4 linked regions of the Diceros bicornis minor genome follow. The protein of the gene in region 3 interacts with the protein of the main gene of each other region in a biochemical or structural test. Links are inferred from orthologs where the notes say so. Each region holds a gene or a part of one and is shown on either strand. Other genes may lie near its edges.

Region 1 (7,127 bases), on a different chromosome or scaffold from region 3:
GAGGAAAACAGGGTAGCTTCGGACCGAGATAGGAGCAAGATTTCCTCCATGCGTTTTTTTGTTATTATTTAAATTTGTACCATGTAAATGGACTGCCTACTCGATAAATAAATAAATAAATAAAAGTCAAAGCTCCCCAGATGTTTGCAATGTAGAACCAGAATTTGGGAACCTCTGATTCCAGGTACTCCTCCTTACCTCGACAGTACCTAAGACACTGGTTATATAGCTTCCTGGGCTATTTATTCCATCTTGAAAAGCTCTGGTAGTTCTGGCTTTCCTTCTTAGTGTTAAACTGAAACCTTGTAGCCTCCAAGGAGGCTCATGCTGCTTCCTGTAACCATGCAGAATAAATCCAATCCTACTACTAGCACAGTTGTGTGAAAGGAGAATGGGCACATGTAAACCATTGAATGGAAAAGGAATGTTTCTTTTTCTACAGAAAATAAGCCTAATAAATTGATGGGAAATTTTTTTTGTTGTTTTTTACTTTTTTTGTGTGTGTGAGGAAGATCAGCCCTGAACTAACATCTGCCAATCCTCTTCTTATTTGCTGAGGAAGACTGGCCCTGGGCTAACATCCATGCCCATCTTCCTCCACTTTATATGGGAGGCCGCCACAGCATGGCTTGCCAAGCGGTGCATCGGTGCGCGCCCAGGATCCTAACCAGCGAACTCCGGGCCACTGCAGCGGAGCGCGTGCACTTAACCGCTTGCACCACCGGGCGGGCCCCAATTTACTTTTGTCTTTAACAAGGGGAATACTTTCTCCAAATAAAATCTACAGGGCCCTGTGATATATAATGCAAATTTAAAAGCTGAGTTTCTGTGGCTCCCAAGGAGTGGCAGGGAGGAGCCAGGAGCCCTGCTGGGGTACCTCACTGCTTGAGAGACACAGTTGTATTCCACCTCTCTCACCACTCACAGGTAGAAACTGAGGCCTACTTCTCCCCCTCTGCATCATCTCCTCCCTAGTTCAAGTTACCACCATCTCACGGTAGGACCTTGTGATCCCCTCCAAACTGGTCTCCCCAGCTCTACCATTGCTGCTCTCTAATCAGTTCTCCACTCTGCAGCCAGGGTTATCTTTTCAAAATGTAAATGTAAACCTTTCAATTGTTTCCCATTGCCCTTGAGATAAAGTCCAAGTTCCAGAATGTTTTCTACAGCCCCTGCAGAGTCTGGGCCCTCCCCAACCTCCTCTTCTTCCACTGTTCTCTGCCACACACAGGGGACGCCTTCTAGCCTCAGAGCCTTTGCTTAGGGCCTGTCCCTCTGCCCAGAACACTCTTTCTTCCACTTTCTAAGGATTTATCCTTCTGGACACCTCCTCAGGGATTCCCTGATGTACCAGACCAGATCAGATTCCCTTCTTAAACACTCTTAAAGCATTCACACTTTTTCTTTGCAGCATGTATTCTGTCTACATGTACTGAGGGGTCCCCTGAACCAGGTAGTGGGTGGTACTATAGTAAGGAAAAGAAAGGCAGGTCCCTACCCTTTCAAGTTTATAGTCATTTGGGGGTACTCACCCTGATTAAATACTCACAGAAACAAATGTAAACATGCAGTGCCTGGAAGGTGGATGATAACAGGGGAATGTATCAGCCAGGGTGTCTGAGGGTAAAGCTTACCTGGGAAAGGTGGGTGTTAGCTGAGTGAAGTGAGTATGGCAGTGAGGAGGGCATTCCAGGCAAATCTCCAAGGAAGCACTGACCCTATCTGTTTGGACCTAGCAAACTGGTAGGCTCTCAGTAGACAATGAATGAAGGAGTGAGCAAAAATTTATTTGCCCCAAAGTAGAACCAGATTAGAACTCAGACCTTCCAATTCACAGTGCAGGGCTCTTCCCTTCCCCTAGTGCTGCTCCAGGATTTTGGAGACCATGCCTAAGTGAATGAGGAAAAGAGTTTGGTTAAATTACGCTTTTCCTTTTGCTTCCATTTCACAATTGAAGATGCCCAAACATAAAAATCACCCTCAACACTTCAGTCAACCTTTATTTTTGTGTGTCTGTGTGAGGAAGATCAGCCCTGAGCTAACATCCATGCTAATCCTCGTTTTTTGTTTTTTTTTGTTTGCTGAGGAAGACCGGCTCTGAGCTAACATCTATTGCCAATCCTCCTTTCAACTCCCCCCAAAGCCCCAGTAGATAGTTGTATGTCATAGCTGCACATCCTTCTAGTTGCTGTATGTGGGACGCGGCCTCAGCACGGCCGGAGAAGCAGTGCGTCAGTGCGCGCCCGGGATCCGAACCCGGGCCGCCAGTAGCGGAGCGTGCGCACTTAACCGCTAAGCCACGGGGCCGGCCCTCAGTCAACCTTTAAGAAGGAAAAAAAAACAATGGTTCTCTGACATTTCTTACACCAAGTTTTTATTTCAATACTTGGACTTGCTGGTGGAAATACTCCAGTATGTTAATCCACTTGGGCTGATCCCATTCAGGGAATGTCCAGCAAGGAGGGAGGGCTTTCCATTCCTTTATTTGACCGTGAAACAATTATTGACTGTATACTTACAGTGCACACACATACAAAAAGTTCAAAATGTTGACAATTGTTTCTCTGAAGATGGTAGAATTACAGATGATTTTTAAAATTACGCTTATCCGTATTTCCTAAGGCTATAATTATTTTGTATTATTTGCATAATACAAACCTTTGAAAACAAAAGCTTTTCAAACAAATATTTAATAAGTTTAATGGTAGGTCTTACGCAGAGGTAGTAGTCATAATCTCTACCAAACACCTAAAATAAATATACAATTTGGAGGCCAGCCCAGCGGTAGAGAGGTTAAGTTCACACACTCCCCTTCGGCGGCCTGGGGTTCACTGGTTTGGATCCTGGGGACAGACCTACTCACCACTCATCAAGCCATGCTGAGGCAGAATCCCACATAGAAGAGCTACAACTCTACAACTATGATATACAACTACGTACTGGGGCCTTGGCGAGAAAAAAGAAAAAGAGGAAGACTGGCAACAGATGTTAGCACAAGGCCAATCTTCCTCAAATAAATAAAGAAATATACAATCTAAATAAGCAGAGTGTCTGTTCTAAACATGCTGTCTAAAGACAAGTCCTCTTGCAGCCTGATTGCTGTACCAATGCCCCTCTACTAAAATCATTTATTCTAGGAGCTGCCACTGGAGCAGGGGATATAAAAATAAATACAGTCACCTATAAAACGGGAATAATTCCGCTCAGTGTTGTTGTAAGGATTCAATGAATTAAGACAGATAAAGCACTTGGAACAGTGGCACATAAGCACTATATAAGCGTTAGCTATTATTATATTTATGGTACTGCTAAATAGGAGCAACCAGTGGGGTACCAAAGGGTGGCAGAGAAGGAAATGATTCTGAGAAAATATAATAGGAGCTAAAATGGAAGTGCGCTAAGATTACTGAGGCCCACGGCCCAGGCCGGATTGTAGGGTCAAGTCTTGCCGTCAGCGGCTTGTGGTCGCCACAGCCTGCAGGATCTTTGATGGCCCGCTGGACAGAAGCGGTGGACAGGAGTGTTAGCGCCCGGAACTTGGGCCCTGCTGTCGGGAGGCAGAGCCCAGTCCTCGGGTCATTCAGTTCCCTCCCTCGTTATAAAACCGCGGCTGAGAGGCCCAAGGCGTAAGAGAGGGGTCCACACTACTGCACGGTTATAAGTCGAGTCACGGCTGGGTCCAGCCGGGTCCCCAGTGGCTAGCACAACCTTCTCCATCTTCCACACTCCCTCAGCCTATGGGACTCGGGACTCCCCGGCCCAACGCGGGTTGGAGGTCACCTGACCGCTGCGTGACGTGCAAACTACGCTTCCCAGCATGCAACGGGTGAAGAGGCGCCTTCCGGTCAGGCCGGAGCCTCGCAGGTTCTGCCGGGAGTTTTCATTGACCTCTGAGCTCCTTCTCGTTCCGAGCAGCTCAGGTCTCCTCTAGGCCCCGCCCCTTTCTGAGAGCTGGTGACCTCGCGGAGTCCCGCGAGCTGCTTCCTTCTTCCCCTCTCATTGGTCCAGTCTAGCTGCCATTCGGGTGCGAGGAGGAGAAGTTACTTACTGATTGGTGGATTCCGTTTGGCGCCAACTAGGAAAGGGGGCGGGGTAGTGGCGGTCCCCAGTGAGCAGCTATTACCGCGAAAGGCCACCTTGGCAGCGACAGCCAGAAGGAGGTGAAGGTCGGCTTGGTTCTCTGCAACCTCGGGCTGGGCAAGGGGGTGAGAGAAAAGCGAGCAGAGTGTGAGCCCAGGCGGTTGACTCGCGGCTCTGGCCGCTCTCCCTTCCTGACCCTCCGCGTTTGTTTGGATTTAATCTTCAGGTTGCCGGCGCCCGCCCGCCGCTGGCCTCGCGGGGTGAGAGGGGAGCACCCGTGCGTGTGGCTGGCGCCTACCTGGTCCGGACACTCGCCCGTCCGCGCCGCTTGCCCGCGGCAGCCGCGTCCCTGAACCGCGACATCGTGTTTGTGTTTGACCCGCGGGCGCCGGCTAAGGGGCGCGCGGCCGAGGCCAGTGCCGGCGGGGCGGGGCGGGCGCGGCGGAGGCGGAGGAAGAGGGAGCGGGAGCCTTGGGAGGCTGGGTGCCGCCATGGAACTGGGCCCGGAGCCCCCGCATCGCCGCCGCCTGCTCTTCGCCTGCAGCCCCCCTCCCGCGCCGCAGCCCGTCGCAAAGGCGCTGTTCGGCGCGCCAGCCGCCGGGGGCCTGTCGCCTGTCACCAACCTGACGGTCACCATGGACCAGCTGCAGGGGTTGGGCAGGTGAGGAGGGACCGGCGAGCAGTGCCGCAGGCCGCTGGCCTCCCAGACGGCTCTCGGGGAGATCAGGCCGGGAAATGGGCCAGGAGAGGGGCGAGACCTGCCGCCCGCATGAGGCGGGGGCTCACCATGTGCACCCTCCCCATAGGCGGAATGTTGGGCGGGAGAGGCCGTTCGGATCCTCCAAGACCGCCCTCAATCCCCAAGCCAGGCCCGGTAGTGGGTGAGAACGGCCACGGCTCCCCACCTTCGCCACCTCTTTCGGATTGCCCTGTACTCTTCTGTCCCTATCCCAGGAAGCTCTTTGACATCTAGCCCCACGGGGGAAAAGCAGGCCCTTCTAGGCGCTCACTTCCACCCTTTGCTGAACCACCTCACAGGATCGTAGTTTCCTGTGAGCTTTGTTCCTTCTCAACAAAGAGAAGTGGCATTTTCTTTCCTGGCGTTTGCGCAAAATCGTCGCAGTCTCTCGCCCCGTGCACATTCCTTATGTCCACCCCGGTGGTTTCCGTAATAAGGCCAGGCCTTTTTACTCAACTTTCCGTTCTCAAAAGCTCCCTAAACTTTTCCTTGTAGCAACAAATGCATCCTACAGTGTTTCTGGTGAAGCTGTTTTCCCTTCAATCTTGGACATCCCATTTTCTAAGTAAGCACGTGACTTATACGTTTTCCAACCTCTGGAAAGCAGGAATTTGTCCTATTCATCTTTCATCCCAGCTCCTAGCACAGTACCTAGAACACATGCTCTCATTTCAGGAAATACTCCAACAATCATCATAGTCATCCTGTCCTACAATGTGACCCAGGCCATGCCCACCCACTCCTTTCTCATCTCCCTTTATGCTCTAGTGCTAACTGGCGGTTCTGGGTGGCAAAGTGTTCTGTGGTGTGGCCTGGAAGTTATGATGATTGATGGCAGCCTGCCTACTAGCTAACCTCATGGCCTGTCTCCTGTGTGTAACCTTTTAATTATGTCCTAGAAATATATAGAGAGAATTATTTCTCTTGGTTTCAGTGAGTGTGAACAGCTACTGGAGGTGAAAAACAGCAGTTTGCAGAGAATGGGTTCCTCCGAGTCAACCGATTCAGGTATTCCTTTGGTCTTCGATATTTATCATGTGTCTGCTTTGTGGGAGCAATACTTGGAATTTGCTGAAACATGCCCCTTCACCTAAGAACTTAGTTTGGTGAGTAGTTGAGACAATAAACAGAGAAGTCATGGCATTGAGTGACTAATACCCTTAAGAATAGTACAAAGGAGTCCCAGTGGCAGTTTATGAAGAGAAGAAACAAGTGTCTGCTAGAAGGTGGTGTGTGTTTGGTCTTGAGGATGCGTAGTAGGGTAAAATTAACCATACCACTGTAAGTGGCATTCCAAAAATCTCATTGGTTAAAATACAGGGTCAAATTGTTGGCATCTGAAATATAATGAAATTATTTCAGTGAGCCTGCCTGCTGTGGAGGAAATTTGCCAGTGCATTTTATTCTAATTTATAAATTCATGTTACTGCAGAGTTTATCTGTATTTGCACATATGCTTTAGGTTAGGAAACTGCAAGAGCAAGTCTTCAAATGTAGGCATAAGAACTAGGGATAGGATTCTCATTTGTGGCAGTGTGGCAAGGGAGAATACCAGTCAGGAGCTAACACCTAACTTCCTGTAAGGTTATATAGACATCATGGAGGAAAGGTATGTGCTAGGCAGGCACTGGTGGGTCTGGGCCACGCTGAGCAGTGTCTCCACCCTGCTGCCTTTGGTGAGATGGTCACCTCACTTGGTGTTATTTTGTTGAAGTCAATAAATACTTGCCTTGCTTGTCAGATGACATAATTGTATTTTCCAAACCCCAACATTGTGCATATGATCAGACAAAATAAAATACTTGAAATCAAAACTATTCCAGAAAACTGGTACCTATTCTTTCCATGGTTGGAACTCACATTTAGAAAGTTACCTGGGTAACCTCTAGCTGAATAACCAAGCAATCATGAGAAGGTTTGGTTTAATTCACACTCTTGAGGGCCGGCCCCGTGGCTTAGTGGTTAAGTGCGCGCGCTCCGCTGCTGGCGGCCTGGGTTCGGATCCTGGGCGCGTACAGACACACTGCTTCTCCAGCCATGCTGAGGCTGCGTCCCACATACAGCAACTAGAAGGATGTGCAGCTATGACATACAACTGTCTACTGGGGCTTTGGGAGAAAAAAATTAATTAATTAATTCACACTCTTGATGGTATTTGCAAGGAAAGGGGGATTAGTAGATATACTATGAAAATATTAAGACTTGGGCAAATATAAAGTTTTTGACAATCAAGTAGAGATACAGCTTCAATTCTGGCAAAAGTCCAAGCCATAAGTTTCTGTTGACTGGCTTAAAGAAACAGTACTAG
Region 2 (7,831 bases), on a different chromosome or scaffold from region 3:
AATTAAAATCCCTTTTCATTCTCTGAGTATTCCCTGACTGAACATTTTAAGATCTCCAACAAAGAATCCTCATGAGTAATAATAAACATTATTAAATGCTTGGTATGTGCTAAGGATTAAATTTCCTTACAATGGCTGTTTATGAGAAGTGCTATTATCTCTTTATTATTACTTCTTTATTATGAATAAAGAAACTGAGGTCCAATGAAGTTAAGAAACTTGTCAGAGCCACAGCTGGTAAAGTAATAAGCCACTGGAATCCAGACACTCTGATTCCAGAGCCTACACTCTGCACCTTTAACCACTAAGATATAGCACTACTCACATGCAGATAACAGCATATGCCTAAATGCAGTATACCATTTTCCTCCATTTTTAAAGATAATACTGATTGTGTGTGATGGTTAAAATGAGTAGCTTTCATCTTCGCAACACTATTTAGATCTAGGAAACTTAAAAACCTTTCAAGGGAAGGATCTAGGCCTCCAGGCCCACTTATAACCAAAGGGACACATTCTATACTCTGCAGAGTCTGCATAGGATAAAATCCCTGTGCCAGTGTTCAGCATGGGGTTCATTTAGCAAAAGAACTTACATCCCAGCTAATTGTATTTCCTGAGGTCCTGAAGATTTCAAGTGACCTGCAAACAGATATGAAGAGTTATTTTTGTCCAAGCATCTTGTCTTTCCTTCTGATTTTCTTCATTATCAGTAAGCCATATTATTTTCAAAAGCTGACCGTTACAACACAAAGTATCTTGTTAGGTACCAATTTCATAGTACAAGGTACACGTTCAAGGAAATTTAAGAATTTACATGTGTCACTGAAAGAAGAAATGCCGGGAAGCAGTGCACTATGTTAACCTACAGAGATTTTTTTCATGAGTAGAAAAGAAAGCTTATCACTCAGTAAATCTGAAATTAGAACAAATACTAAAATGGTTGACTAGTAAAACATATTCTTTTTAGGCACAGACTTTATAAAAACCGATAAGAATTAGTTGACAAAGTTTTTCTTTATGTTGGTTTCTTTGTCTCTGAGGACATTAGACTAGGGCATAAAACCTTTCATCTTAACTACTACTTTCATTCTCACAATCAATCAGTCAACAAAATATGCCTTCCTAACTTTTTCAAATGCAAAGTGGCTCCTATTAGTGTTATCTTTCTCTTCCCGTTGGCTTAATCATTCTCCTCAAAAATCCTCTAGGTACCCAAAGAATTCCAACTTCAAGTCTCGCTACCTACTTTTATCACCTTCCATCTCTATTCTTCTATCCTGTCCTCTCCCTTAAAAGTTATTCTCTCCCTTGAAGCCTTTACCGCCCTTCTCCCTACCAGTTTCATCACAGTCTGCAGAAGTGGTAAGCTGAATGGCAGACATCTCCCCACTGCTAAGATTCGAAAGATCAAGGCAACGTTTTGGAGTTTCTCTGTTGAGACATAATAGTACATCAAGATTCCCATTAGGTCGTAATATCCTTAAAAGACAAAGATCATGTTATCCTCTTCTTTTGAAATGTCTCTCGATGACTATCACATAATCCAAACAGTGTCCAAATAAATCTAATTGATTTTTGGAAATATCTCAGACCAGGCTGAGAAAAATCTCCCACCTTTTCTCTACTCCAATAATCTGTACTTCATTTTCTCCTCACCAACATACTGAGACAGGATAATTTTTTAAATTAAGGACCAAAGTTCACTGGCCAAGGTAAGTCTTGACCCCACCTCTTCTGCCCTGTGCACGGAGAGTACATAGGTTTGACTTCTCCCTGGGGTCGCTAAGTACTTCTCAGGTCCATTAACTCTCCAACTCTGCTAGCAGAGGCGTCAGGGCATGGCATAACCAAAATTTAAAGTACAATAACAGTAACACTAATATTAATACTACTAAAGTGACCAATTCATATAATGCAAGAGTTTTCAAAGACTTTTCCCAGACATCACATCGTTTGATTCTCACAAGATTCTCCTAAGATAGGATGGTATTATTATTTCTATGTCACAGAAAAGAGATTCAAAAGGGTCACACAGTTAGTCAAGGGCAAAGCTGAGACTTAAACCCTCATCTTTGAGCCTGCATAATTAAAAAACAAAACCAAAATCTAAAAATTGTTTAGAAAAGCAAAGGAGATAAGGCATGAAAAGAAAAGCTTTACCCAGACAAAATGCTTAGGTTTGCAGAATCACCAAAGAGTTTGTCCACTGGAGTCCTAGGGAGATCTGGACAGACGGTAAAGGAAGTGTCTCTCTCCAGGAGCAGATTTAATATCTTCCTCTGACTGGACCTAAAACTAGGTCCTGAGCCAGGGCTTCCTGCCTCTCTTGTGAATGAGAAGAGTTCTGCAGACATGGTCTCCGAGCTCTCCCTGAGAAAAAAAATAAAACCTAGCTAAGAGGCGAACGTCGTCTATACTGGCCAGCTTTCACAACCTCCACCACCCTTCCCAGCAGCAGCCAAGCGGATCAGTAATGGAGGAGGGGCATCCCCAAACGGTGAATCATAACTTGGCTTGATGGTTAAATCCCACTTGCCCAAAGAGGCTTGGCCTTTCCGTTGGAACCTGAACTTACCGAAAGGCAACCTCAGGACCCTAAAGAGGGAATAAAAAGAGGGTCTTCGACTTGTTCCGGGCCACACAGCTCGTGACTCCTGACCAGAAGGAATTCACGTCTCCTGACTCGCGACAATGCCTATTAGGTCTCCCGAACTTCCGTTTGCGGGGCCGGGACTGGACCCTGAGGGGACCATGGGGTCTCGGTGATTCCGTGGCGGAGATGGCTCCGGGCTTACCTCGGGTTTGAGTCTGAGACTCACCTCCAGGAGAAAGGGCGTGGGTGGAGATCAGACACAAGCGAAGACTCGAGCAAAATTAAAGGAAATCTGGGGAAAGGCGGCAATTAACTAGACTACAATTCTGCTTCTCGACTGGATAGGCCAAGGTCACGCTTTGCCGCTTCTCTCCGCAGAGCCGAAATTACAGCTTCGGTGCGAGAATATCAACAGCTACAAGCCTTAACCATTCAAACCTTCTACCCTCGGAATAACCTATCCCGCTCGCCTCTAAGCTGCGTCAGCCAATCTCCGCGCGCCCGCCCCGACCCGCGCCCCCCGCCCCTACCCCGGCCAATCGTTTGTCTCATACATCACCCGGGGCGTGAATTTGCTCTGTCGGGGACCAAGATTTGCCCCGCCCCTCAGCCAGAGCAGGATGCCGATTGGTCCACCAGCGTTCGGCAGGCGGCTAGGTAAGCTCCGCCCCTCAAGGAGCCCTGGCGCACCATTGGCTCTCCCTCTGGCCAATCGCCACGCCCTTCCTGAGCTCTCCCTTCCCTCAGCCCCTCCAACCCCGGGAGATTTAAATTGCACCTCGCCCCCGACGACCACTCGTTAGGATAACACCTGGAGATAATTGATTTCGGTGGGAAGGTGTTAAACATTTCTTTTTCCTTGCTGCTTTCTCTTGTCGTTAAGTGGACCTTTCCCTCTTAATTTTGCTAGCCTTCCGCTGGAGAGGCAGCATTTGCCCCTGGTGTGGCAGACGTTGAGGCGATACAGGTGTGTGTACGTATGCTGAGCGGCATTGGCCCCTTCCAAGAGCTTTCCTTGTTCAGTGTCCCTTTTAGCGTGCAGCATCTCTGAGATGCTAGGTTACGTGGGGCAAAGGAAATTCATTCTTCAGGGAAAGTAGGAGAGTTGAATCATCTCAGCATAATCCTTATCACAGTCCAAAGGATCCTAAACTTTGGTTGTTTATGGAAATTTGAACATTGACTAGGTGATATTAAGAATTTATTCTTAATCTTCAAGATTTGCTTTTATTTTATTTTTGTGTGTGTGAGAGGAAGATCAGCCCTGAGCTAACATCCAATGCCAATCCTCCTCTTTTTGCTGAGGAAGATTGGTCCTGGGCTACACATCCATGCCCATCTTCCTCTACTTTATCTGGGATGCCGCCATAGCATGGCTGGACAAGCGGTGAGTCGGTGCGCGCCCAGGATCCGAACCTGCGAAACTTTGGGCCACCGAAGAAGAGCGCACGCACTTAACCGCTGCGCAACCAAGCCAGCCCCGGAGATTTGCTTTTAAATGATCCCATGGAAGTGGTGGTGGGGATAGATGAAACAAAATTGGCCATGAATATTGAGTGATGGGTAACTGAGGGGTCCATTATATCAGTGCTCTCAAAGTTTAATGTCCATACTAATCCCTTGGGGATCTTGTTAAAATGCAGGTTCTGATTCAGTAGGTCTGGGTTGCTGCCCAAGATTTTACGCTTCTAACAAGCTCCCAGCTGCTGCTGATGCAGCTGGTCCTGGGACCATACTTTGAGTAGCAAGGCATTATACTATTCTCTTTACTTCTCTGTATATTTGAAATTTTCTGTAATAAAAAATGTTTAAAATAACCTTGGAAGCTCTTTAAAATGCAGACCCTCAAAATTATGATTCAACGGGTCTAGAGTGGGGCCTAGGAATTATCAAGGCCCCCAGGGGCTACTCATGCAGATGGCTTGCAGATCAAATTTTAAGAAACAAATTAGAAGTGCAACCTTTATCTTTGAGAAACAGAAAATCAGAAATACAACCTTTATTTGGTGTCAGGATCTTGGTGGTGGTAGTGGCTGAGAGGTGCAGTGTAGTCAGCTGGGTTTTACCCTTTTCATCTGTGGAATTTGCTTCCTGAGAAAGAAGGGGTGTGAAGAATCTTTGTCCTCTGGGATAGAGATGGTGAATGTGGGAATCAGCACAGATCCCTGCCATGCCAGGTGAGTTCGAAAATCAGGCTGGGGATTAAGGGAGTGTGGGATGAGTTGGCTTCTGTTTTGATGATTATAATCACACTCCATGGGGTCACTGTATACTTCCTTGCAGGTGGGAGGTAGAGACAGATGAAATCGTCCTACAACGGCGGCAAAAGCAGATAGATTATGGCAAGTGGACACCTGGTTACCAGTGCTTTCTGCAGCAGGTCCTCAAGTGAGTGCAGTTGTGAGTGGTCACAACAAGAGCATCAACCAAGCAGCTTTGGTTCAATGTCAGGTGATGGAAAGATACTAGAATCTGAGTGCTCTCACAAAGTTGCAGCATTACTAATACGAATTATCCTGCTGGGCCGGCCGTGTGGCTTAGCGGTTAAGTGTACACGCTCCACTACTGGCAGCCCAGGTTCGGGTCCCGGGCGCGCACCGACGCACCGCTTCTCCGGCCATGCTGAGGCCACGTGCCACATACAGCAACTAGAAGGATGTGCAACTATGACATACAACTATCTACTGGGGCTATGGGGAAAAAAAGGAGGAGGATTGGCAATAGATGTTAGCTCAGAGCTGGTCTTCCTTAGCAAAAAGAGGAGGATTAGCATGGATGCTAGCTTAGGGCTGATCTTCCTCACAAAAAAATAATAAAACTAATTCTCCTGCAATTTAGCCCCCAAAATAAGTTTCCAAGATTTTTTCAAATAGAAGAAGCCATATACTTGGCCCTTAAGACTTTTTAAAGCTTTATCCATGTTTGCTAATGAAGTTTTTTCCTTCTAACCATTTTTATCTCACGCCGCCAGCTGACTTGGCTAACTGCAACATATTTGCCTAATTACATGTAAGTTTACATGCATACCTTCAAACTAAATATATGAAAAGGTAGAATGCATTTTAAAGGGATATCAAATACTGTCTTATATATCTATCTTGACTTCTGAGGGAGTTGGAATATCTAATTTATCCTTCCCAGAAGAAAGAATATTAGGGAATTAGGAAGTTTGGTGTTTAATATGATCTGAAGATTTGGTTTTTCTGTTGGATTGATGGCATTGATCCTACCTCATTCTCAAGGAATTCCCTAACGAGTCTCCTGATTCATTGTGATGAAGCAGTGTGTTGTGCCCCTTCACCTTGACCTCAGTCTAACACATATTTGTCATTGCCAGAGCACAGTGACAGCCAGGACTTCACCCTCAAATGCCAAACAAGAACAGGAGGTACAGCTGTTGCTCTTGGGATGCCCAGATCAGGCAGTGGAGAAGAGCCCTACATTCCTGGGACCCCCCTAGCCAGCCTCTGCAGGGAGGGAGGCTGAGGGGTGTGTGCATTATTCCTGGTTCCTTCTGTGAGTGGTGGACTGAGCCCTACCTCTCCCCACTTTGCAGACGTTTAGCTTTCACTGGTTGAAAAGGGAGTCTGAAGGAGGTGTGTGTTCCTCTGACTCTGCTGCCTTCCTAGGCAGGGAATGGAGAGTCTCTTAAATGGATTTCACTCCTTTGGATGACCTCCTGGATGACTGGCTTCAGACTCTGGAACCCTCAGAGAATCTTGATGGAGACCAGAAGGGAGCCCAGGTAGTGTCCTCTGCTGAAACCCATTGGAGCAGCATCAGAGCGGGGTCTGGCCCATGAGGACACAATTAAGATGTGGTTCAAGGTAGTAGCCCAAGGGCCGGCCCCACGGCTTAGCGGTTAAGTGCGTGCGCTCCGCTGCTGGCGGCCCGGGTTCGGATCCCGGGCGTGCACTGACACACCACTTCTCTGGCCATGCTGAGGCTGCGTCCCACATACAGCAACTAGAAGGATGTGCAGCTATGACATACAACTATCTACTGGGGCTTTGCGGGGGGGGGGGGGGGAAGGTAGTAGCCCAAGAACAAAAGAAGGAAAATGGGGCAGCAGGAACAAATAGCTAGGACATGAGTAAGAAAAGCCTTGAGAACTAAAAGTGGCATAAGGAGATTTAATTATAGTTAGTAATGGGGAGGAGGTTGGGCTGCACTGGGGGCTATTTTATACTTGGTGAAAGGGGTGTAATCTTCCTTTGAAATGAGGCCTGAAACCTGACTTGCAGGTTTGGTTAAGTGTCTCAGTTTCTTTCAATGTTTTGCAAATAAGCCAATGCTAACTTCTTATACTCAATCATTTAACTTTAGTAGGCATGGTTAATAATAAAAAGGGGGATCACCTTGCAGTGAAGACCAACAGCTTTAGAGCCTGACTGCTGTTTTTTTTTTAATTTATTTTATTGATGTCTTAATAGTTTATACCTGTGAAATTTTGGTTGTATATTTTTGTTTGTTGATCACCATATACATGTCTCCCTTCACCCCTTGTGCCCACCCCCTACTCCCATTGCCCCTGGTAACCACAATACAGTTTTCTCTGTCCATGTGTTGGTTTATATTCCACATATGAGTGAGATCATACGGTGTTTGTCTTTCAGAGCCTCAGACTGCTTTTTAATACTACCTTTGTCCACCACATGGGCAGTCACTTAACCTCTCCAGCTATTTCATCTGTCAAATAAGGAGATTTTGTCTCATTTGATGATTCTAAGCAAAAATGAGCATATATATTTAAAGTATGTAGCACGGTGCCTGGCACATAAATGCTCCACAACAGCAGTTATTGGAAGCCATGTCTCCTGTACTTCATGCCCCCCCCCCCCTCCTTCTTTTGCTAAAGGGCAATGTGCAGGGCAAAGAAATGTGCAGTGCATCTTCCCTCCATCCCCATTTTCTTCATAACTACCTCACTTTCCCTCTACTCTTCTTTTTCAGTTTGCAGACTTGGTGGCTCCTGGCTCTGTGAGGAAGATTCCCACCACTGGCTCTACTTTCTAGCTGATCAGTTACTTATCTGTACCAGACTTGAAAGGGGAACAAAATATTTAGGGAAAACAGATGTCTTTCAGGGGACTTGTTGCTAAGTGTAATAGTGAAGATTACTTGCATTACTGCTACTTTCCAAACGATTAAAAAAGAAATCTAAAACTCTGCCCTACAAAGAGATCACAACACGAAGGCATTGTTTAAAACCTCTCCTTTTTCCATCTTTTTGCCC
Region 3 (7,275 bases):
GTGACATGATCAGATTTGGGTTTCAAAAAGATCACACAAGTGACAGTGTAGGAATATATTAGATTGAAGGTCCAGATAAACCAGTCTGGAGTTACTGCAGGTGTCCAGATGAGAGAGAATGGTAGCAAGGAACAGGTGATGGCAGTGAAAATGGATGGATGGATTTGAGACACATTTAGAAGGTCAGCTTTTCAAGACTTGGTGATGCACTGTCTATGGGGGTAAGGGAGAATAAGTTGTCAAAGATGCCTACTCACTGTTTTGGACTTGTGCAGCTGGATAGTGTCACTCACTCAGAAGCGAACATCAGAAGAGGCATAGATTATTTTTTTGAGGAGGGAGGGGAAATGTTCATGAATTCCATTTTGGACACACTGAGTTGGAATATATAAACTCCACAAAGGCATGGACCATGTCTTTCTTGTTCACTGCTTTATCCTTAGTGCCTGATCCATGGTAGCCCTGCTATAAATATTTGTGAAAGTGCATATGTACTTTCCGTGAAAGTGCGTACTATTGGAGTGAGAACCCTGAGGACTTTTCTCCATGGCACAGTTAATTTCATGCGTCAACATTTAGGCTATGGTGCCCAGCTGTTTGGTCAAACACTAGTCTAGATGTTGCTGTGAAGGTACTTTGTAGATGTGATTAACATTTACAATCAATTGATTTTAAATAAGGAGATCATCTTTGATCATGTGGGTGGGCCTCACCCAAGCAGTTGAAGGCATTAAGAGCAAAAACTGTTTCCTGGAGAAGGACTTCTGCCTCAAGACTAACATAGAAATCTTGCCTGAGTTTCTAGCCTGCTGGTCTGCCCTACATATTCTGGACTTGCTAGCCCTCATAATCATGTAAGCCAATTCCTTAAAATAAATTACTTTTTCTTTCTTTCTCCATCTCTCTCTCTCTCTATATATACCTACATACATATACACTATTGGTTCTGTTTCTCCGGAGAACCATGACTGAAACACTATGGAAAAAAGTGGAAAGCAAAGCAATCTGGGATCAGAAGACCAAGGTTTCAATCTTTGCTCTGTAATGTGACCTTGGGCATTTCCATGAACTTCTGAAGCCTATTTTTCTTGTCAGAGACAATGATGTTATCCAAATGTCATGGGTAGGAAGGAGGATTGCAATCTGCAAAACACTACTATATTCTTGGTTTAAGGCAGACTTCCAGAGACTTAGAGATGTTGCAAGTCTAACTTCCAGACAAAATTGGTTTCAGTATAACCAAGAACAAAATTACTCTCTGAATCATTATGATGACCAATATGTACTCTTTATATTCATTTTTCACTTAACTCCAGACATGTACTCATAATGGCAATAAAATGAATTTGGTGGTATTTTATCTTTTACCTCTGACAACAGATTCAATCTCTTTCATGGCAGCTTCACTTTGAGCTTCTGTGAGTTTCTCATTCATTTCCATTATTTCCATGAGGAAATGCCTGTCCATTTCATAATCTGTCCCTTCAGGAATCTGTACTCCATGGAGCTTTAGCTATTGGAGCACAAAGCAGGGAAAACATAAGTCATATATATATGTAAGGTATAAATATAACTTATTTGTATTTATTATAAATAATAAGGTTCAAGAAACTATGGTCAGAGTCATAAATCCTACTCACCCTTCAGAACAGAATACCATTCACAGGGAAAACTTGAACTGTCCTAATAATGAAAGCGAGGGTAGGGTGCTGGAAACTTGGGCTGAGACAGGAGTGCTAGGATGGGATCCCTCTCTGCTACCTGGAACTGTGTGACCCTAGGGGAGTCACTCCTCCATTTGGGAGGCTGAAATAGATATTTGCAAAGATTCTATTAAATCCTAAAATTCTAAGGTGCTCACCTCCCCCCAAAAATACTCCCAAATTACTCTTCCCTAAAAGCTATCACCATTCAAGCCTTGAAATTTATAGAAAATAGTTTTAAAAAATGCAATTGGCTAAGTAAGATTTACAGAGAATGCTCAGAGAAAACTATATTTGTATAACGTCTTTGAGGCTAAATATCTTTGGTCCCTGGACTAGCTTAGGTCTCAAGCACTCCTCTGCTGAACAGAGAGGAGCAGCGGTCCCACAGCATAATGGACACCAGGCAGTCACACATGGGAAATCACCTTACAAGGTATAGTCCCCTGCTCAGGGGTGCCAGAAGGGTCTTATAGGCATCATTCACCAGGGTTGAATGCTTCTCTGAGAAGTCCTTTTCAGTCTGTTAGTGGAGATAAAGAAAGTCTTATTACCAACCAAATCAGCCATTTTACATTCACAAACTGTTTCATAAAATACCGAGGTGCAGGCACCTAAGAAGTGGTCAGAGTAGAACTGGGGTGGGATGAGCTGTCTTTATTTTCAGCTGATGGGTTCTAATTCTGCTGGAAAGTTGGGTAAAAGCTGTGAGTGCAGGGCAGGTCCAGGGCCTGGCCGGCCTGGGTCAGCGTGTCCCAGGGTGGACCGGGTTGTCCAGCTCTGTCTCTGATTATCACATAACCACAAGGCCACTGCCACCCACCCGGTGTGCACATGTGTTTTGGTATCATTAGGAGTGGCCAATAGGCTACCTGAGACCTCTGGCTGAAGAAATCTGGGTGGACAAGACGCTGCAGTTGCTGGTACCTTTGCTGGAGCTTCGCAGTGTCAACTCTGAAGGAGCGGTTGCTGGAAGGAAATTGGGAGAAGAAATTTATGCATCAAATATTTATAGATTTGTATACTATGGCCCTGGTTCCTGTTCTCATGGGGAAGAGGCAATAAAATGTAGACAGAGATAATTTCAAAAAGTGGTAGGTGCTGAGGGAAAAGAGAATAGAGTCAGAGAGAGTGGTAGATGTGGTTGACAAAGAGATGACATTTGAGCTGAGACCCGAATGATGAGGAGTAATCAAAGACCAGAGCAAAGAGTCATGCATGCAGAGGGACCATGCAAAGGTGGGAACAAGTTTGGTACCTTGAAGAACTTAAAGGGTAGTGTTATTGCAGCCCATCATAAGTGCTCAGTGACTGGCGGGAGCAGATCCCAGAGCTAAAGGGAAGGGGCATTCCCGAATCCCACCCTATCTTTCCAAAGCCCAGGTCTCTTCATCTCTGTCTCCCACTTATATTTTAATCCAATCCCTTTCACTTTCTATTCCCAGAGCCTGCCCTCTCTGCCCACCTTTACCACCTCTCCAAGCTCCTCAACCTTCAGAAGAAAATGGGAAATAACCACTCCTTTCTCAGACCCTCTCCCTCCAATTCTCACTTTTCCCTTAGACTCCGCCTACAATGTTAGGTTTTCTGTGCTTTTACTCCCTTATTTTGGATAACACCTCAGTACCGCTTTCTTAAAAGTCTCAACCCAATTTTAATCATTCTGACCCTATCCCTCAAATCTCCCGTCTCCCGTCCCTTAGGCCCCGCCCCCAACTCATCTTTCCCTCAGGCCCCGCCTCCCAACTTCTCTTTCTCTCAGGTCCCGCCCCTCGAGTCTCCCTCCACTGAAGCTTCCATCCTTCAATTTCCCCTAACTTCATTCCCCGCCCCTCCAGTCCTGCCTCCACTCTTGTGTCTATCCCGCAAAGTTCCTTCCCTCAGGCCCGCCCCTCAATTTCCTCTCAGGACACATCCCATCCTCCATTTTCCCAGACCCCACCCCCAGCCCCTGCTCTCTAGGGCTCCGCCCACCTATCTAACCCATTCCTCCTCCCTGACGAGGCTGAGCAGCCCTCCCCTCTCGCACGCCAGCCCCCGACATCCCTCTCGCCCTGGCGCGTTTCCCGAAACCGCCTCCCGTACCAGTCCATGAGGCTGAAGTAGTCTCGAGTGGGGTCAGGTGGCTGCAGCGCGCGGCACTGCGGACAGAAGAACCCGTCCCCCCGCATGGAGCCCCCTGGGCCGCCGCAGTTCCAACACCTGGGGGAGTTGCTTCCCGCCAGCGATGCAGCATTGCAGCCCAGCGGTCTCCTTCCGAGAACCCCTGCTGGCCACAACCCCCACACCCGGAGCAAGGCCCCTGCCCTCCCGCCCCACATCTGGCTCGCGGCCTATCTCGCCGCGTTCACCCGTGGGGGGAAAAGGGGAAAGAGCGGCCGACTAGACTAATGATGTTGATTGGCTGGGGAGCTGAGGGGGCGGGATCACCCAGGGGAAAACTGGATTCTGAGTCCCGCTCTGCGTTTTAAACTACAACTCCCAGCAAGCCTTTAGGCTCCGCGCGGACGGTCACATCCGCTGCTCCTCATTGGTCCGGCGGCGGCGGAGGGGTGTTTTGATTGGCTGAGGGTGGAGTTCGTATCTGCTCGTTTAGCGCCACTCGGGTGGCTGCGGCTGCTGCGAGTGTGCGACTCCAGGTGGGCTCACGCGGTGAGTCATAGTGGGGAACTTCTCTTGGGTGTTTGGGGATTCGAATCCCGTCCTCAGGGTCTTAATGCGAGCTGAATTTCCCGAGCTTCCGCTTTGTTCGGTTTTTGAGGTCGGGCGGTGGGGAGAGGAATGCGTGGCGACTCTCTTCCTTCTTTGTAGATCAACCTCGAGGTGAAGTTCACTTCCCCTGTTACTTGCAAGCTGAAACTGGCCCGAACATACAGGATAATAAGGAATAAAGTTGTGCTCTTCAAAATCAGAGCGAAGTTGCTTTGTAAAGAGTTCTATAAATGTTAGTAATTCTTACCATACTTTAGGATCAATCTCGAAAATAACCTATTAAGAACCCACTCTTAGCTGCTAGGCGCTGCAGGAACTGGAAACACACTGAGGATGTAGGAGGATGCCCTGCGAATGTCCATGAGTAAGTGTGTGGATGGGGTGGCGGGGAACGGGTAGGAGAGCACCAATCCTCCTTGGGACTGAGTTTCTCTATTTGAAAAAAAAAATTGTGTTGCACTTGTAAGGGCTTTTCCGGCTGTCGGATTCTTTGGGACTGGAATTCTCTTCTCTCAATTATCAAGCGTTACTGGGGAAGGAGCTTTCATGCATCATCTCAGTTAATCCTCCAGATCTATCTACTTTTTTCAGATAAGGAAATGGGCACAGAAAGGTTGTGATCTACCTAAAGGTCATGCAAAGATTTGACTCAGGCATCTGACTCCAGACTTGTTTGCCTCTAACCACTCCATTATACATTCTCCTCATGGCTGAGGCCAGCGTGGTCCCGGTCCCGTGGACCCTTATTTATCATAAGCGATGATAGCAGCTACCATTTGACACACTGTCTACCGGTTTTCAGGGCGGAGAAATCTTGCTCGAAAAGCTGCAGAAGGACACAGCCGGCTTAGGTAGTAGAGCAGCAGGTCCCGGAGTGGCAGACTCAGCTCTGGCATCACCTTGCTGGTGTGCTTTAAGGAAAATTCATCAGGACCTTTGTATCTGCAAAGCTGTGTAAATGCAATCAGTGTGAGTAATGTTTACTATGTTCTCCTTGAGTAGTGTGAGTGTGGGGATCTGGAGGAAATGCACCTTTTTTTCCTTACATCAGATTAGGGATTTAAAGTTAGGGATTGAAGGTGACTTGACTCTAAATTCTGTTATCAGAGTTGAACTGTCCATCAAATGAATTCTAAAGCAAGGGTGGGAACCTACCTGTGTTACAGTCTCCTGTGACTCAAAGAATAGTTTCTGCAGGATTCTGTCATGCTGTGAGGCCAGTTAGGATGTTGATAAGTTGAGCCCCGTAATTACTTAGCATCACAAAGGGCTAGGTGGAGTTGTTTAGAGCAGTCTTCTTTGTATTCTGCCTCCTTAAGTGGCTCCGCTCTTAGGTAGGAGTCAAGGAATCTACAATGAACAACGGGACAGGAGTCCTACCCTCCAGGAACTGGCTTGGGGGAGAAGGGGCATCAGTGACATTTTATGTAAATGGCCACCCCTAGAGTGTCACAGGGAGTTAGAGTACAGTTTCTTGTTGCCCATCTTCTACCCCAGGCCACCTGACCCATCCCCTTCTTTCCCTTTCCAAAACATATAGGAAATTTAAGTGTAGTGTTGATTGTATTAATGACTGTTTTAAATTTCATTTCTAATTTTTTAAAATTGGGTGAATGTAAGCTGTTACAAGTCTCTCCCTCTCCCCAACTCAGTTTCATTGCTTTTTAGTTATCTATAGCCTTCAAATAATTTTTTGTTTCTTTTCCCTGTGGTTTGTGGCTGTCAGACAAAAAACTGATCCGGTGAAAGTGATGTGATGAATAACTCAGTCCAGAAGAACTATAGGTCTAGACTGTTAGAATTTTAAATTTTGCAGAGCATGCTTGCTCTGGATTTTTTTTTTTTTTTTGCCATTGTAGTATGCCCATCCTTCACTCTTGAACTTTAAGTCTTGTTCCTTGAAACTCACCTTATTGTTGGACACTTTCCTTGAGGTCGTGATGTCTCAGAAGAAGGATGTGGAGCATCAGCAGTCCCAGGGCAGTGGTGCCTGCTCACAGTCCCAAGGCAGCTTCTCGCAGCCCCCTGGGCTCTCCTCACAGACACAAGGCTCCTCTTCACAGTCCCAGGGCACGTCCAGCTCCTCCACCAGCACAGCGCCCACGTCCAGCCAGTCCTCGCACTCCAGCTCGGGGACAGTGAGCTCCTTAGACACAGTGTCCACTCAGGAACTCTATTCTATTCCCGAGGACCAAGAACCCGAGGAGCCTGTCCCTGCCCCTTGGGCTCGATTATGGGCCCTTCAGGATGGATTCTCCAATCTTGGTAAGACCCTTTGTTGTATAGTGTAATATTTTGTTCAGAAAAACAGTTAATGGAAAGTTGTTGCAACAGAAAGCTCAAGATGCTCCTGGAGTTCAAAGGTGATGAAAGGTGAAACCAGGGACGCAGTTTTGGGTAGCGCGTTGGCTCTTAGCTGCTGTGGATCCCCTTCATTTTTTCTTTTAACAAATATTAATTGGGGATCTGCAATGTGCTGTCCATCTGAGCATCTGAAGAGAGCTGTGGACCGTGTCCCTAGAAAAATGCAGATTCACTCAAATTTGCACATATTTACCATTTAATCACAAAAACTTCACCACTGAACCCCTGCTGTGGTATGCTGCAGCTTCAGAGCATCAGTTTTACACTTTCAGAATAGAGAAGGCTGTTTGATCACCACCTATTATTTGTTTTTATCTCCAAATAGGCAACCCTGCAGCTAAATACATTCATCCTCTCTGACACCTGGTTCCAGTAGTAAGGCATTGCTCTCAGCATGTTTTTTTTGTGTATGTGTGTGAGGAAGATCAGCCCTGAGCTAACATCCATGCCACCCAATCCTCTTTTTTTTTTTTTTCCTGAGGAAGACTGGCCCTAG
Region 4 (7,881 bases), on a different chromosome or scaffold from region 3:
AATAGCAAATTAATTAGATTCTTATTTTGCTTCTAAAATTAATTCTTCCAGTATATGTTTGAAGATTTTAAAGTCAATAATTAAAAGCAAGATATGAGGGCCGGCCCCGTGGCTTAGCGGTTAAGTGCGCCCGCTCCGCTGCTGGCAGCCCAGGTTTGGATCCCTGGTGCGCACCGACGCACTGCTTCTCCGGCCATGCTGAGGCCGCGTCCCACATACAGCAACTAGAAGGATGTACATCTATGACATACAACTATCTACTTTGGGGCTTTGGGGGAAAAACAAATAAATAAATAAAATTATAAAAAAAAAAAAAAAAGCAAGATATGACTCCCAAACCAATCAGTGGATAAGAATAGTTACCCCTGACATAGATCCAAGGGTATATTAAAAACTTACTATCAGGGCCGGCCCCATGGCTTATCGGTTAAGTGCGTGCACTTAACAGCACTGGTTAAGTGCTGGCGGCCCGGGTTCGGATCTCGGGCGGGCACCAACACACTGCTTGCCAGGCCATGCTGTGGCGGCATCCCATATAAAGTGGAGGAAGATAGGCACGGATGTTAGCTCAGGGCCAGTCTTCCTCAGCAAAAAGAGGAGGATTGGCATGGATGTTAGCTCAGGGCTGAGCTTCCTTACAAAAACAAAAACAAAAACAAAAACTTACTATCTAATGGAGTATCACTAACCAATAAAATAATGAATCATTTCGCAAAAGACATTGGGAAACACATTATTTGGAAGATTCAAATTCACTTCATGCTAAAATAATTCCAGATGAACTTGAATGTAAAAACACATTTTAACTGTAAAAATATTAGAAGAAAACATGATATTTTAGTCCTATTTAACTGATCTCAGTTAAATAGAAGTGAAAGGAACATTCTGAGCATAAAACTACTGGAAATATTAAGAAAGTTCAAGAGGTTTTAATTAATTAATTTATTTATATATTTTTCCCCCAAAGCCCCAGTAGATAGCTATATGTCATAGTTGCACATCCTTCTAGTTGCTGTATGTGGGATGCTGCCTCAGCATGGCTGGAGAAGCAGTGCGTCGGTACGCATCCGGGATCCGAACCCCAGGCCGCCAGTAGTGGAGCACACGCACTTAACAGCTAAGCCACTGGGCTGGCCCCAAATATTATTTTCAATGTGCTGGGAAGTCACAAAGTATATTGAGTAGAGAAATGACTTGATCTGATTTATGGTTTTGAAAGATCGCGATAGCAGCTAGTGAAAAAAGGATTGCAGAGGGTCAAGAGTGAAAGAAAGGAGACTTATGTAGTGGTCCAAGTACAGAGACGTAATAGGGGCTTGGACTGGGATGGTAGTGGTGGAGGTAGTGAGAAGTAGTGGGTTCAGTACTGATTTTGAAGATTTAGTCAAAAGCATTTGCTGATGAATTAAAAGGATTGGAAATTGGTGGGGCTAGGGAGGGGAAGGAGAGTGGAGGAAAGAGAGGGATAAAAAACTCCTATTTTTTTTGGCTTAAACAGCATGCTGGATGATGATGCTTACTGATGTGGGTAAGACTGAGGGAGGAGGAGATACGAAGAAGAAATCAAGAGTTTGTTTTGGCCATGTTAAGATGAAATGCTCATTAGATATCTATGTGGAACTGTCAAGTGTGCAGTTGCATATCGAGTCTGAGATTCAGGGTAAGTTCAGGACTGGAGATATAAATTTGGGAGCCATCAGCAGACAGTTTTTAGAGCTACAGTCCTGGATGATGTTACCTACAGTATATAGGTAGAGAAGAGAGCCCATGACAAAGCCTTGGGTACTCCCAACAATCTAAAGTCTAGCAGGGGATGAAATCCAGCCATTTGTGACAACATGGATGGACATTGAGGGTATTATGCTAAGCGAAATAAGTCAGAGGGAGAAAGTCAAATACTTTATGATCTCACTCATAAGTAGAAGATAAAAACAACAAACATACACATAGAGACAGAGATTGGATTGGTGGTTACCAGAGGGGAAGAGTGGAGGGAGGAGGGCGAAAGTGATGATTAGGCACTAGGCACATGTGTGTGGTGATGGATTGCATTAGTCTTTGGGTGGTGAACATGATGTAATCTATGCAGAAGTAGAAGTATAATGATGTACAGCTGAAATTTATACAATGTTATAAACCAATGTTACCGCAATAAAAAAATTTTAAATTTATTTCTTAAAGAAACATTACATCATCATATAGGTGGAAAACCAGGATTATTTGCCATAAATAAAAGGTAACTGGGAAAAAAAAAAGTCTAGCAGGGGAGAAATCAGCAAAGGAAAATGAGAAGGGGTGGTCAGTCAATGAGGTAGGAAGAAAACCAGGATAGAGTGGTCTCTTATAAACCAAGAAAAGACAGTTTCAAGAAGGAAGCAACGGTTTGACCTGCTACTAAGTTTCAAGAAGGAAACAATTGTTCCGCTTGCTGCTTCAGTTGGAACAGAAGTCAATCAACACAGAAAGGTCATCATTAGCTTTGGAAACAGAGAGGTCTGATTATGTCATAAAAACAGTCTTAGTGGAATAATGGGGATTGCTTAACTGGAATGGGTTTGGGAGAAATTAATGAGGTAGGAATCAGAAGTAGAATCTGGACAGAAACAACTCTTTCAAAAATTTTTCCTGTTAAGGGGAGCAGAGAAATGTGGTAATATAAGGGGTCCAGGTCTTTTTTTGTTAAAATAGAAACCAGAACATGTTTGTACACAAATGGAAATGACCCAGCAGAAAAGGAGAAATTGATAAGGTAGGAGCAAGTAAGGATAATTGGTGGAGCAAAGCTCTCAAGCAGAGAAGAAAGGATCTAGAACACAAATGGAGAGATTGCCTTTAATAGTAGCAAGGCCACTTCACCATGAAGAGGAAGACGAGAAACGGAGAAGGCAAAATGCTGGACGGAAAATGTGGATGATATTTTGAAAAAGAAAGTGGCTGAGAAGTGACAAGAAAAGTGGAAGATAGGCAGACAGTGAGCCAAAAACAGATGAAAGGGGAGTTACAGGGATCAGTAGGTGACAGCACCTTGGTGTAGTGGCAGTTGGCATTAACTATAAAAGAGCTTGGGTTTTTACAGGATAAAGGAAGGGAAATGATTCGAAGACAACATGAAGAGCAGATTCAAAGATGAGAATATCTGTGAGAGGGAAAATAACCTCCTTACTTGAAAAGTTGCAAAGGGGGTAGTTTTGTCAGGTGATAAACCAGTTTTCAGTTGGAACAGGAAGTTGATGGGAAGATTTAGAGAACAGGTGAAGAATAAAGGGGAAACGGCTGATAACAGATGTTAAAATCTAAAGTGTGGAGTGAAATGGTTAGGATGGTTGGTTAGGATTGTAAAGCATGATGGAATTATCTTTTCATAATCTCTAAGTGGAGGGAGGGATGGTGGGTAAACTGTGTAAGATGAATTGGAGCTACATAAACTGTTCTCGCTTGCAAGTCTGGTGGTGTGGAGGCTACTGGATTAGAATTGCTAATATTTCACTTAGGATTTTTGCATTTACAGTCATGAAATATGGTCTATAGATTTCCTTCTAGTAGTATAATTGTAGGTTTTGATAACAGGATTATGATCCTCTTTGAAAACACCCTGGGATTTTTTCCAAGTATTTTTACACTCTGGAACCATCTGGTCTACTGCATTTTAGTGTAGGGGATATCTATGATTACACTTTTTAATTTAATTGATCTATTCAGATCTACATTTTGAGCTGATTTTGCTTATTTATATTTTTATTCATATAAGGATTTTTTTTTCTATTTGTATTTCTTGTGTCAATTGTTTGTATGAACATTTTCCCATTCCCATTTCTGTACTAGTATCATTCCATTTGAAAATCTCGAAGGCTGTCTAGGAAAGGGCACACAGGAGAGTTGATGGTGAAGTGGCCAGAAACTCAAAAAGTGAACTTTAAACCGGTTCACTGAAGAACACTTGCTGCTGAGAAGATGCTAACCTGCCACTCTGAGGCTTATTTTAACTCCGTGGAACTCCGTGCAAAGGTTTTAGCGCTTAGATCGTAACCTACCGGGCGAAGAGGGGGGACGATAACCCGATTGTTAGACCACTGGAGAGCTTGGCAGTTTTTGTAAGTTATTTTCCAGTGATAACTCGAAGTACTGCCACCAAAGATGTACGATGCTGTACCCAGGGCTCGTCGGAAAAAGTGCCACGTTTAACAGAAGCTGAACAGATCTGTTAAGAGTTAGTTAAAATATTTTGAGTCTCCGACATATCTGGTTATGTGAAACGACCCTGCGTAGCTGATGGAAATTCCCCAAGTTTTCTTAACACCACAAACTGGATCCCCTCCCTTAACTCCCAGTCGGATACATCCCACCCGAATCCAGTTCAAGAGCGCCACGCTTTTTCCAGCCTGTTCACAAACGACCTTCCGAAAGGAGGTTTCCCGCCATTTCACTTCAAGGAAAGGAAGGTCTTTCCCCCCCGATTCTCCACACTCGTGGGAGGCCCGAAGCTACACAGCTTTCCCCGCAAGGCGACCGGCGGGACGTCAAGGGCAGCAGGCTGCATTACGATCCCGGGGATTGAGCAAAAAGGTGACACCAGGTCGCTCGACAAAGGCTCAGCATCTACCGAAAACACCCACTGCGAAGGGAAAGCGAACACGCCTGAGCGCGGGCGCAGAGCCCGCTCTGAGGGATGAGAGCGCGGCCGTTGTAGGAGGAGCGAGGGTTGGTTTGGAGGGCGGTTCGCTCCAACTCCGCTCCGGATTGGCCAGACCCAGAGAGCCGAGTGACGACAGCGGGGGAGAACGTCTGATTTGTGTGGTGGGCGCGGGCAGGCGGGGGAAGCGTATTGCGCAGGCGCAGCTGCTCGGCTCCTCTCGCCCTAGCGCTCCGGCCCAGCTCTCGCGGACAAGTCCCGACATCGCGCGCCCCCCCCCCCCTCCGGGACCGCCCCCTCCCCGCTCTCGGCGTCGTCGAAGGTAAACAATAGTTGGCCGGCAAGCGCCGAGGCTGTCTCCCGCCGCCGGATTCGGCGGGCTGCGTGGGACCGGCGGGACCCCGGCCAGCCGGCCATGGCGGGGCTGTACTCGCTGGGAGTGAGCGTCTTCTCCGACCAGGGCGGGAGGAAGTACATGGAGGACGTTACTCAAATCGTGGTGGAGCCCGAGCCGACAGCCGAAGAAAAGCCGTCGCCGCCGCGGTCGCCTCCGCAGCCGTCACCACCGGCTCTTCCTGGCAGCGAAGTCCCGGGGAAAGGCCCAGCGAGGGCAGCTCGAGAAGCTCGCGACCCTCCGCCGGACGCTGGGGCCTCGCCGGGTCCCGGCCGCTGCTGCCGCCGCCGCTCCTCTGTGGCATTTTTCGCCGTGTGCGACGGGCACGGTGGGCGGGAGGCGGCACAGTTTGCCCGGGAGCACTTATGGGGTTTCATCAAGAAGCAGAAGGGGTTCACCTCGTCGGAGCCGGCGAAGGTTTGCGCTGCCATCCGCAAAGGCTTCCTCGCCTGTCACCTCGCCATGTGGAAGAAACTGGGTGAGTTTCCCGGGTAGTTGGGCGCCCGCCTCTTTTTCGGGTGGTTGGGGGCTTTGATAGCGCCGGCACCGCGTGAGCCCCCGGCGCGGAGAGCGCTATCAAAGTGGTCGTTGATGGCATTGAAGACTTCTCGGTGTGATAGCGCCTTCCCGAGTGGAGGTCGGGCAAACAAAGTGGCCCTGGGAAAGATAGGATTGCAGTCCCCCTCCAACCGCTCCTCGCTTTATTTCCACCCTCTAAGGATCAATGGGAAGAAGTCTTGTCCATTCGTCGCTTCCCTTTGGTGGCAGCCGGCGAAAATGTCTTTGAAACCTGGCGCCAGATTTGGGTCAAAAGATGAATTGAAGATACGTTGCTACTTGGGCCGCGCAAAGGAAGCGGGAGATGGCAAAAATTAAAGTGTTTCCTTACTGTCAATTTTGCTCTTGAAGGGCTTGTCCCTATCGGTTGCCTCCTACCGGTGATGTCAGTGCTCCACATTGACCCCAGGTGACTGGTAGTTGGAGTAAAGTTGAAGCAAGCTAGTTTAGAAGGGCTAAAATGTAATCATCCAAGACTTAAAGCCTTGGAAGGAATTCGGTCGTGGGGATCATAAAATGTTTTTAGGATCTTAGTGCTTGTACTGCTTACGGAAAACAAATGCGCGGAGTGCGTTACCTCTTAAACTAGCCCCACGTTAGGGTTATGTGTTAAATTCTGTTAGGGTTTTTTAAAACCCCCCCTTTTTGGGTATTTGCCTTAGCTAATTGCTGTCGGATAGTTCTCAACAGTTCCTAATTAAAAGTACTTATGAGTTGTAACTGCCTGTCAGAGTGGCAAGAGATAAGGAATTACTGATATGCTAAAAGAGAATAGAGACTTTAATTTGTAAACATTCAGTGTAGTTGTAGTTTCATCTGAACTTTAAATGTTTTTTAAAGCAGCCAGTGTTTCTGTACCAACATATGTTATCATACAGGATTATAGTTGCTTATCCAGTGCTGTGAATGAATGGCATGAATCTTTTTTAGAGAAGATACTTCTGTCATTAAAAAAATCCTCTTGTTTATGGTAGCATAATGTTGCTTTATTTCCAGCAAAGGGGCAGAGACATAGAGAAAAGAATGTAAACATTGGTCAAACACAGAACATTTTTAAAAAATATATTGTCATAGAGTTATAGACTAGCATCTTTCAAAGTCTGTTTTCTATTTACTTGGCTTTCTGCCAAGAAGTATTTGCTTGACTCATAGAACAACCAGTCTGCCTGTGGGAGGCGTTTCCCCTCCAATCCCAGAGGTCCCTATTATGGATTTGTTTTGTTTTTGTGTAGGCAGAGCAGAACTGAGAGCACTGCAGTATATTCCAGAAATATGTCATTTCATTGCCTGCAGGGCAGCTAGGAGTGGACAGCAAGACAACAAAATAGAGAAAGATAAGACGCAAAGAACTGTTTAGAGTCCTGTTTATTTTGCAGTATACTTGGAGCAATGTGTATTTGGTGTATGTTTGAATTAAGAGGATAAAGTATAAACCCTGTTACTTGAGCATTTTTTAATAAAGCAGGGGTCATCTATTAAATGTGAATATGTATGTTGTTTTACACATACGTACTTGTTGAATCAAACTTGCCCTCCTCTGAGGCGTGGCTTAGAGCCTTACACACCAAATGTTAAAAGTTTGCTTTGTTCCACAGCTAAACTTCGTACTCCATCCTCAAAACTTGATTTAAAAAAGTATGCTGAGTATATGGAAGTCTTGACACAGGAGATGCAAGTTTTTTAAAAAATTGTACTTCAGACCCAAATTCACTGATGGCTTCTCAATTTCTATAAAATAAACTTCAACCCTGCAGTTTATCTACATGCCAAGCCCTTCCCAGTCCAACTTCAGACTCCCTATTCAATTTTATCTGTTTACCCACATTTCTATCACATTAGTCTACTCACCTTTTTCCAGGGCATATTGAAATATTCCATTTTCTTGAATTCCCCTCCACCCCTCAAAAAGAGAAAACTGAAAAATATTCTCCTCAGTCTCCAAGTCAGTATACTTTCCTCTGTGAAGACTTCTGTTTCTTTTGGAGTTAAGCATCCTTTGTTTCTACTTTTGTAGTCCTCGTTGGGTTATAGCAGTGGTTGTCAAACTTTTTGCTTTCAGAACCCTTTGTATTCTTAGATAATTGAGGACCCCAAAGAGCTTTTGTTTATGTGGGCTACATCTATCAATATTTGCTATATGAGAAATTAAAAAAAGTTTATTAATCTATTAAAAATAAACTTATTTGTTAATATATTTTTAAATGAAAAATCACTTTTTTCCAGACTAAATAATGAAATAAGAAATATTCTCATATCTACTTTTGCATCAGTCTGTTGTGCTATGTTGTTTGGTTGAAGT

The links.
Region 1: of the proteins of CHEK2 (region 3) and CDC25A, one has a biochemical effect on the other in vitro, tested with the Homo sapiens proteins (5 studies listed by BioGRID, with this or other methods). The link is inferred for Diceros bicornis minor from reciprocal best matches to the Homo sapiens genes CHEK2 and CDC25A.
Region 2: of the proteins of CHEK2 (region 3) and CDC25C, one has a biochemical effect on the other in vitro, tested with the Homo sapiens proteins (14 studies listed by BioGRID). The link is inferred for Diceros bicornis minor from reciprocal best matches to the Homo sapiens genes CHEK2 and CDC25C.
Region 4: of the proteins of CHEK2 (region 3) and PPM1D, one has a biochemical effect on the other in vitro, tested with the Homo sapiens proteins (2 studies listed by BioGRID, with this or other methods). The link is inferred for Diceros bicornis minor from reciprocal best matches to the Homo sapiens genes CHEK2 and PPM1D.

What each region holds. Positions count from the first base shown.
Region 1 is NC_080741.1:49,428,034-49,435,160, reverse strand, and holds the start of CDC25A (M-phase inducer phosphatase 1), read left to right. Parts: upstream 1-4,124; 5' UTR 4,125-4,571; coding exon 4,572-4,741; intron 4,742-5,753; coding exon 5,754-5,827; intron 5,828-7,127. UniProt on the Homo sapiens protein: Tyrosine protein phosphatase which functions as a dosage-dependent inducer of mitotic progression. Directly dephosphorylates CDK1 and stimulates its kinase activity. Also dephosphorylates CDK2 in complex with cyclin-E, in vitro.
Region 2 is NC_080740.1:56,902,905-56,910,735, forward strand, and holds the start of CDC25C (M-phase inducer phosphatase 3), read right to left. Parts: upstream 3,011-7,831; 5' UTR 2,798-3,010; intron 2,785-2,797; exon of another isoform or gene 2,578-2,784; intron 2,373-2,577; 5' UTR 2,357-2,372; coding exon 2,163-2,356; intron 1,434-2,162; coding exon 1,339-1,433; intron 642-1,338; coding exon 596-641; intron 1-595. UniProt on the Homo sapiens protein: Functions as a dosage-dependent inducer in mitotic control. Tyrosine protein phosphatase required for progression of the cell cycle. When phosphorylated, highly effective in activating G2 cells into prophase.
Region 3 is NC_080774.1:22,521,195-22,528,469, reverse strand, and holds the start of CHEK2 (serine/threonine-protein kinase Chk2), read left to right. Parts: upstream 1-4,268; 5' UTR 4,269-4,355; intron 4,356-4,379; exon of another isoform or gene 4,380-4,712; 5' UTR 4,713-4,779; intron 4,780-5,217; 5' UTR 5,218-6,355; coding exon 6,356-6,680; intron 6,681-7,275. Other genes in the region: iron-sulfur cluster co-chaperone protein HscB, read right to left, coding at 1,369-1,513, 2,137-2,226, 2,576-2,672, 3,789-4,024. UniProt on the Homo sapiens protein: Serine/threonine-protein kinase which is required for checkpoint-mediated cell cycle arrest, activation of DNA repair and apoptosis in response to the presence of DNA double-strand breaks.
Region 4 is NC_080757.1:26,535,822-26,543,702, forward strand, and holds the start of PPM1D (protein phosphatase 1D), read left to right. Parts: upstream 1-4,875; 5' UTR 4,876-5,045; coding exon 5,046-5,502; intron 5,503-7,881. UniProt on the Homo sapiens protein: Involved in the negative regulation of p53 expression. Required for the relief of p53-dependent checkpoint mediated cell cycle arrest.